Tribolium castaneum: one gene and its partner. The protein of the gene in region 2 binds, or shares a complex with, the protein of the main gene of each other region. Links are inferred from orthologs where the notes say so. Each region holds a gene or a part of one and is shown on either strand. Other genes may lie near its edges. The genes, in order: Polr2J and TfIIEbeta.

Evidence for each region.
Region 1: TfIIEbeta (region 2) and Polr2J share a complex: the UniProt entries of both Homo sapiens proteins name them as parts of the TBP-based Pol II pre-initiation complex. The link is inferred for Tribolium castaneum from reciprocal best matches to the Homo sapiens genes GTF2E2 and POLR2J.

The regions. Positions count from the first base shown.
Region 1 is NC_087395.1:21,130,856-21,133,713, forward strand, and holds Polr2J (DNA-directed RNA polymerase II subunit RPB11), read left to right. Parts: upstream 1-1,512; 5' UTR 1,513-1,755; coding exon 1,756-1,808; intron 1,809-1,863; coding exon 1,864-1,953; intron 1,954-2,003; coding exon 2,004-2,214; 3' UTR 2,215-2,259; downstream 2,260-2,858. Other genes in the region: mitogen-activated protein kinase 1, read right to left, coding at 1,087-1,214. UniProt on the Homo sapiens protein: Core component of RNA polymerase II (Pol II), a DNA-dependent RNA polymerase which synthesizes mRNA precursors and many functional non-coding RNAs using the four ribonucleoside triphosphates as substrates.
Region 2 is NC_087396.1:10,271,590-10,276,095, reverse strand, and holds the start of TfIIEbeta (general transcription factor IIE subunit 2), read left to right. Parts: upstream 1-1,632; 5' UTR 1,633-1,747; coding exon 1,748-1,809; intron 1,810-1,864; coding exon 1,865-1,966; intron 1,967-2,020; coding exon 2,021-2,183; intron 2,184-2,234; coding exon 2,235-2,435; intron 2,436-4,506. UniProt on the Homo sapiens protein: Recruits TFIIH to the initiation complex and stimulates the RNA polymerase II C-terminal domain kinase and DNA-dependent ATPase activities of TFIIH. Both TFIIH and TFIIE are required for promoter clearance by RNA polymerase.

The DNA of each region.
Region 1 (2,858 bases), on a different chromosome or scaffold from region 2:
TTCTGAAAAAATTCACATACATAGAGAAAAAATAAAGTATTTAATACCAAACGCTGATTTCCGTGAGATTACTATTTGTATACACCTTGTACAATACGATTTTTTTAAATTTTGATCTAGTTACCATGAGTTTCGCCAGCAGAAACGAATTGCGTAAATATCTTCAGCATTGCTTTATCTGTCACTATGTCCAAAATGTTCAGCAAAGAACAAAAAAATTATGTTGGAATCCAGGTTGGAACCTTCTTCCGTAATGGACATCGGGTTAACGTAATAACGTTAACTGTCATGAATAACTAGATCAAAAGTTTAGTAAATCGCATGGTATTTGGATGAGCACTTTAAAAACAGGTCTCTTAAAATTGTGTGATACACACTGTATTTAATAAGGTACCCAACAATTTTTTTAAAAATTTGTAAGCGTAGATAACTTCAATGTTTTTTAAATGTAGGATCTATAATAAGTATAATATATAGTAGTAATAATACAATATTAATTATTAATAAAAAAAGTTAGTTGATATACCAAATAAGTGCTACTGTCAACAATTAATGAATAAATTATTTCATTTTAGCATAATATGCAAAAACAATAAAACTAAAAAACAGAAAATAAGAAAAAAGTCACAAAATAATAATCATACCAATTTATTCTAACAATTAGGCTAAAATTACCGAAAAGTAGTCGGTGTTGTCTTCTAAAAATAAAATAATTTGACGTTTTTAAATGTTTTGTTAGTTAAAAATAGCAAATTGTTTCATGTATGAAACTCGGAGCCAATGAATCAATTTCGGAAAAGCCCGAAATCAGCCAAAAACTTTAAATAAATCACTTGTCTCCAGGCTACCGTCCTAAAACATCGATTTCTTCCAAACTAATGACAGGAAGTTATGTATACATAACCTCAACCTCTAATGAAAAAACCATTTGACAAGCCACCGCCAACTTTATGAACATTTTTCTTTTTGTACAAAACCGGTAAAACTAAAAAATGATCGAGTTACTGAAACTGGAACAATATCCGCAATTTTAGGGCGTGTAAGTTAGAAAACCACAGCGACTAATGATAAGGAAAATTTACTCACACGACCATTCCGTATGCGCCTTCTCCAATGTATGATAAGTTCGTGTAACGGGGGCCCACCTCAAATACCTGACCCCTTACAACTTCTGCATTCGGATTTACACTTGATACACCTGTGGCTTCCGCCATTTTTAGCGAAACCTCCTAAACTACCTTCCTCGATGACAAACTCACGCACACTGAAGCCACAGACTGAAGCAGAGAGGAGCCGATCCCTAATATTTATCAGCTGATATCAGATCGTTATTATTCACACTTATTACCAATTTTTTCAAACTCCAACTAATTGTAGACTCGTTAGTAACGTTTTCACGTGGATTTTTCCAAATTTGAGGCTTTTTTGGTTTTTAAAACGAATTTATTCCCAGAAAAGATAGCCAAATAACGCGCCCCCTGGTGGACCAACTGAACACTAGTCGGGAAGCACCCTAATTTTATTTTCCATTATCGAACCCACAATAGGGCTACAATTTTCATTTTGGCGGCATTTGTAATACCCTATTAGACGTTCGATAAGTTTTTAAACAGAAAAATAAAAAATTCCGATATTTGGTTTTTGACAGATGACAGGACAGGTGACATAACCCACAAAAAAGTGACGCACTAATAAAAAGTTGTTAAAAATTAATAAGCGGTTTAAAAAGCTCAGTGAACAGTATTTCCATTCAGGATGAATGCGCCACCAACCTTCGAGTCATTTTTGCTCTATGATGGAGAGAAAAAGTGAGTGGGCAAATTCTCTGGACCAAAAATTTATTTTTACAAATTGTGTTTTTAGGATAATAAGGGAACAAGACACAAAAGTGCCAAACGCGGCTATTTTTACCATAAACAAAGAAGACCACACGTTGGGAAACATGATCAGAAAGTGTGTAACAAAACATTAAGGTTTAGGTTGAATTATTTTTGATTTTTTAGCCAATTGTTAAAAGATCCGAACGTTTTGTTTGCTGGATACAAGGTGCCTCATCCACTTGAGCATAAATTTGTGTTGAGAATTCAAACAACATCTGATTATTCGCCTCAAGAAGCTTTGATGAATTCTATCACAGATTTGATTTCAGAGTTGTCTTTGTTTGAAGAACGTTTTAAGGAAGCGATCAAGGAAAAGAAAGAAGGTTTAGATTAAGTATTTGAATTTATTCACTAATAATAAAGTTTATGCTTCGATAAATCAGTCTTTGTTATGTACCCAAAAATATGTCTTGCGTCCCAGCGTCAAAAGTTTAAAATGACTTGTTTATTTATGATGGTTAATAATTCGTTTTCAATTTTTATTCAAAATAAGCTATTTAAGATTTATTAAAAGGTGGCAAAGTCTGTGCTTTAAAGCACTTACGTAAATACAGTAAAACCTCAGTGATCCGTGTACACAGGCTGTCCGTTTTGCGAGCTCCACCATGAGTAATAAAATTTTATCGGTCTATTTAAAAATTAGCCTGTATATCGAAAGTGAGTTTTCAATTAAAAAAAAAACCTCAAAAATACTTTAAAACTTGGATGATTTTTGGCTAAATTTTGAAAATAATTCTGACTGCACCGTTATGTCATTTAGGTATTTAAGAACAATTTCATTTTTGTTTACCTTTCCAGAAATTTTTTCTGACTTAATTATAATTATAGTGGTTGAAGAAAGAAACGAGCATGTAACTGTTATTAACAGAAAAATATATTTTTATTTAATTCACAATCCTTTATTTACAATTAACCTCATCAACGGATAACTTACAAAACAACTAATTTGTGTCAAATAAATATTAACTAGAAATTTTT
Region 2 (4,506 bases):
CATCGTTCTGGCCTATCTCGGCAACTATTTTTTGCTTATTGTATCGGTAAAATTCAAAAATGGAAATGAAAATTTCTGGATTAAAAAGCAACCTAGAAGATTAAGAAATTGGCTCAAAAGACGTTCATAATTTAACTCAACATTTAACGAGTTGTTTTAAAAAAATATCTTTTGAAATTTGAAGAAAATACTAAATGAAATATAAAAATGTACCTTCTTCGCGTATCGCAGAAAAATTAACGGAAATTAAAACTGCTGAAATACCTGTAGCTATGTACCTATGAATCTTTTTGTTTTTTAAAGATTCACTGTTAATTAGGTAATGTGTAATGTTAGGTAGTTAGACGCAACTTAAGAGATACTCTTAAATGGGCCTACTGTAGACCAATTTTTAATTCGTGATCTTTTTCATGTAAATGAAACAAACATAAAAAAAAACAAAGGTTTATTCAAATTTTAGTTATTATTATAAGTTATTTTTTAAGCAAAGTGAAGTGAAGGTTCGTATCAAAGATATCAATTACCTTGAAAATGTCAACATTAACACTTCTTTCGATAGCCAAAAGAGATAATGAAGACAACCTTTCTTGGCCAATCTTCCTAGTGTTCGTTTTCAACCGCCGCAAGCGAGAAAAAGACCTCTCACAAGATGTTGTGTTTATTGGAATCGCAAAAAATAAACATATAAAGGTCAAAAAGTAGAGGGAACATACTTTTCATAGCCCTTCAACAAAAATGTCGGCTCTTTCTTGGATAATTTTGTTTTTTCATTCTTCCATATTACAAATAATGTTGAGCTGAACAATTTTGGATGGCAATTGCCACCCCCAAATTACGCACTGCCCCAGGTAGTCTTAGCTGGGACAAAATTGTCTCAAAATTGGCGAATTATTCCGAGTTCAGAGCGTTGTAGAGTTCCGTAGCTTAAATGTATGAGAAGACACAAAATGAAGATTTACTTTGAATTGCGTTTTCTTCAAACGCGGGCTAAAAATTTTAGTGTTTATTGTTATTTATGGTGTTCTTAGATGATTGTAGAAAATAATAATTTAAAACTAATTAAAAAATTGTGTAATTTTTTTAGAAAAAATATTTTATTCATTCAACTTGTTTAATTTTTCTTAAAAATGTAACAACAAATTACAAAAACTTAATTTTTTTACACCAAAATAAAGCTATTTTTTAAGAAATCGACAATCGTTTTACATTATTATTCTCAACAATCATCTTCACCATAAATAAGAATAAACACTTAAACTTTTAGTCCGTATTTGAAGAAAACGCAGTGCAAAGAGAAAGTGATCTTCAAACCAAAGTAATGGGGAAGCCCCGAATCTTCATTTGGTTTCTACATTTGGACTACTGAAGCGATTCTTTACTATCTTTACAATGCTCTGAACTCGAAATTCGCAAATTTTGAGACAGCTTGCATTGTAAAACAAAAACCAAAAAACCTCCACACAGCAAGCTAGTAGTTGGCATCACATCCGATTAAAAACTAGAGTTAATTAACAACGATTATTACTACATATTTCTATAATTAGTAATTAATTAAATAATAATATTGCAAAAAAATATATAAAATTCGGTTCAAGGAACAGTCGGCCACAAAAGACAGACAGCGCAAGGCATCGGTCCCCCACCACTTGTCACTTTGACAGCCGTGAATGTCAAATGCAAAAGAAAACAGATGATTATTCCTCAAACAACATAGTTCGTATTATTTATTTATTATTTCTCCAATAAAATGGACCCCGCCTTACTAAAAGAAAGAGAATTATTCAAAAAACGTGCACTTACAACTCCTACGTAAGTAGCATTCGCATTTTGTCAACTTATTCAGTTAATTTTGTTCTACTTTCAGTGTAGAAAGAAAAAAGACTGATTCAAGACCAGAACCAACTCGCGATGATAGCAAAAGGTTTAAGTCTTCTAGTAGTAGCACCCCTAAACTTGATATCAACACGTAAGCAGCAAAACATTGCAAATTTGAATCAATTACTTTGTGATTTTTTTTTAGATACAAAACAGCAACAGGAAGTTCGCAATATCGATTCGGTGTTCTCGCTAAAATCGTGAAACATATGAGGAAGAGACACCAAGAAGGTGAAACATATCCACTCACATTAGAGGAAATTTTAGACGAAACTAATCAATTAGACGTAGGGAATAAAGTCAAGCAAGTAATTTTGTGTCATTATTACAATACTTAAATGTAATGGTGTTGATTTAAGTGGCTGCAAACCGAAGCGTTAGTCGATAATCCTAAAATTGAGGTCACTCCTGACGGAAAATTTTTATTCAAAGCTCCATATAAACTTAAAGACAGGAAAAGCTTACTGAAACTATTGAAACAACAAGATTTGAAAGGGTTAGGCGGTGTGTTGTTAGACGACGTGCAAGAGTCGTTACCACACTGCGAAAAGGCTTTGAAGGTATCATTCTTTTAGTTATTTTCTAAACGAACGACGTACAAATAAAACGTCTCCGACTTCAATATTTTCGGTAATGTCGCCAAAAAGCCCAGTTGACTATTTAAATAACTATTAACACAATTCAAAAAAATACAGGCACATAGAGCATTAAATTTTCAAGAGTAACAACTAAAAATAATGCAAAAATTTCAAACATATTAATTTGCAGTGTGACCCATATTTTTAAAACGCTGTTAATTTGGTTAAAGATACAAGAAAAATGTTAGGAACAAAGTAGTAGAAAAATCAATTTTCTACAAAAAAGTCCGCGACTATTTTTCTTTACAACTTTGTTCTTCACACTTCTTTATACCTTTAAACGTATTCGCTATGTTTTAAAAATTATAACGCGGATTGCAAATTGATAATAAATGTTTATATTTTTTTGCACTTTTAATTTAAATTAAAAACTTAATACAGAAAGAGTCAGAGATTAAGATAGTGGAAACACTTTATTGAAAACAGTGTCAAAAAATCGCATATTTATATATATGAAAACGCTGCGAATTCAACTAAAGATGTGTAAGAAGCATAGATGTAGAGAATTAAATTTCCTACAAAAAAGTCCGCCACATCTTCATTGGTTTAGGTATAAATTAATTTTCCAATACTTGACCATAAAATGAAACGAAACCGCTGTGTGAGCATTTTTAAACATTTTTGGGGCCTAAATAGTTGAAGATGTAGATATGGGGTCGTATGAATAAAGTTGAAGTATTTACTTAAAGTATGAGTATAAAGGAAAAGCATTTGCTCTTGCTTTTACTTCTTTAGTTTTTTGGAGAATCTGCTCTCAAAATAAATCATTGTAGTGAAGTTTTCAATGTTGTAATTTTTAAAATGGATTTCCATCTCCTCCCATTTCGTTGTTCTCACTCAAAAAATACCTAGCCAAAGCACGAAGATTTTTTCGTTCAAACCGATATAAAGTCTTAAAATCTTATCCTATGTGTTCGCGAGGTTGTTTATAAGTTTTTCTTACCCATAGTTGCACAACACCCACCATTGTTTCGAGTTTGAGGTGTTACTTTTAAAAATTGATGCTCCTACTGATTAGCGTCAACAATTTTGAACTAAATCCTCAACGAAAAAAGCATTTACTTTGTTTTATTCATTTTGTTTTGAGTAAAACCTCGACGTTCAAGCAAATACTCGCCCAGTGTGCTTTTACTTTTAGTAAAAACTTATACTTACATTTTTACTCATACAATTTAGAACATTTACTTGCAAAATTTGAAGTAAAAGCATTTACTCAATTGTATTCATACGGCCCTTGGTTTCGCAGATTTTTTAATAGCTATTTATTGTATAAGTGTTTTCGAAAGCATTTTATCCACGCAAGAATGTTTAATATTCTCAAGTGGATAAAATGCGACTAAAACATGAATGCAATACAATGTTTTATCCACAATCGTAAAATTAATCTTGGCAGGCTTTGTCTGGTAGTCATAATTCCTAGTTTATTCCACTAGTGGATAATAGGTCACTATAAGGCTAAAGGGGACGACAGAGTTAAACCAAGTGTGTGGCAAAGACAAGTAGTAATGAAATTTATTTTTCTACTTTTGGCGATATTTGTAATCCAATTTTAAATCGAAAAATGGAATTGACTCTTTTAAATAATTATAATTTGAGACAACGTAAGACTTTGAAAAAAAATTATTTGATATTTTTTTATTAAAAGTTTAAACAAATATTCATAATATTTTTAAAAATGTGTACGGGAAAGATGCACAGTGATGGTACGAACAGAATGCGTCCAAAAAACGAAAAATTTTGTTGTAGTTTTGAACGAATCGCGAATATTCATTTTGACAAAATTTGCCGCCGAGAATCTCCCACAGTCAAGTGCGGGACAAGAGAAAGAGAGGGCAAAAGCAACTAAAGACTAGAAGATGTAAAACACGATATTTCTGTATCCTAGTATTATTCATACAAACAATTATGGTGTTAATTCTATGAACTGAATTTAGTGAAGCATCAACAAAATCTTTTTTTTCACTTTGGAAACAATAGGTCAAATTTTAATTTA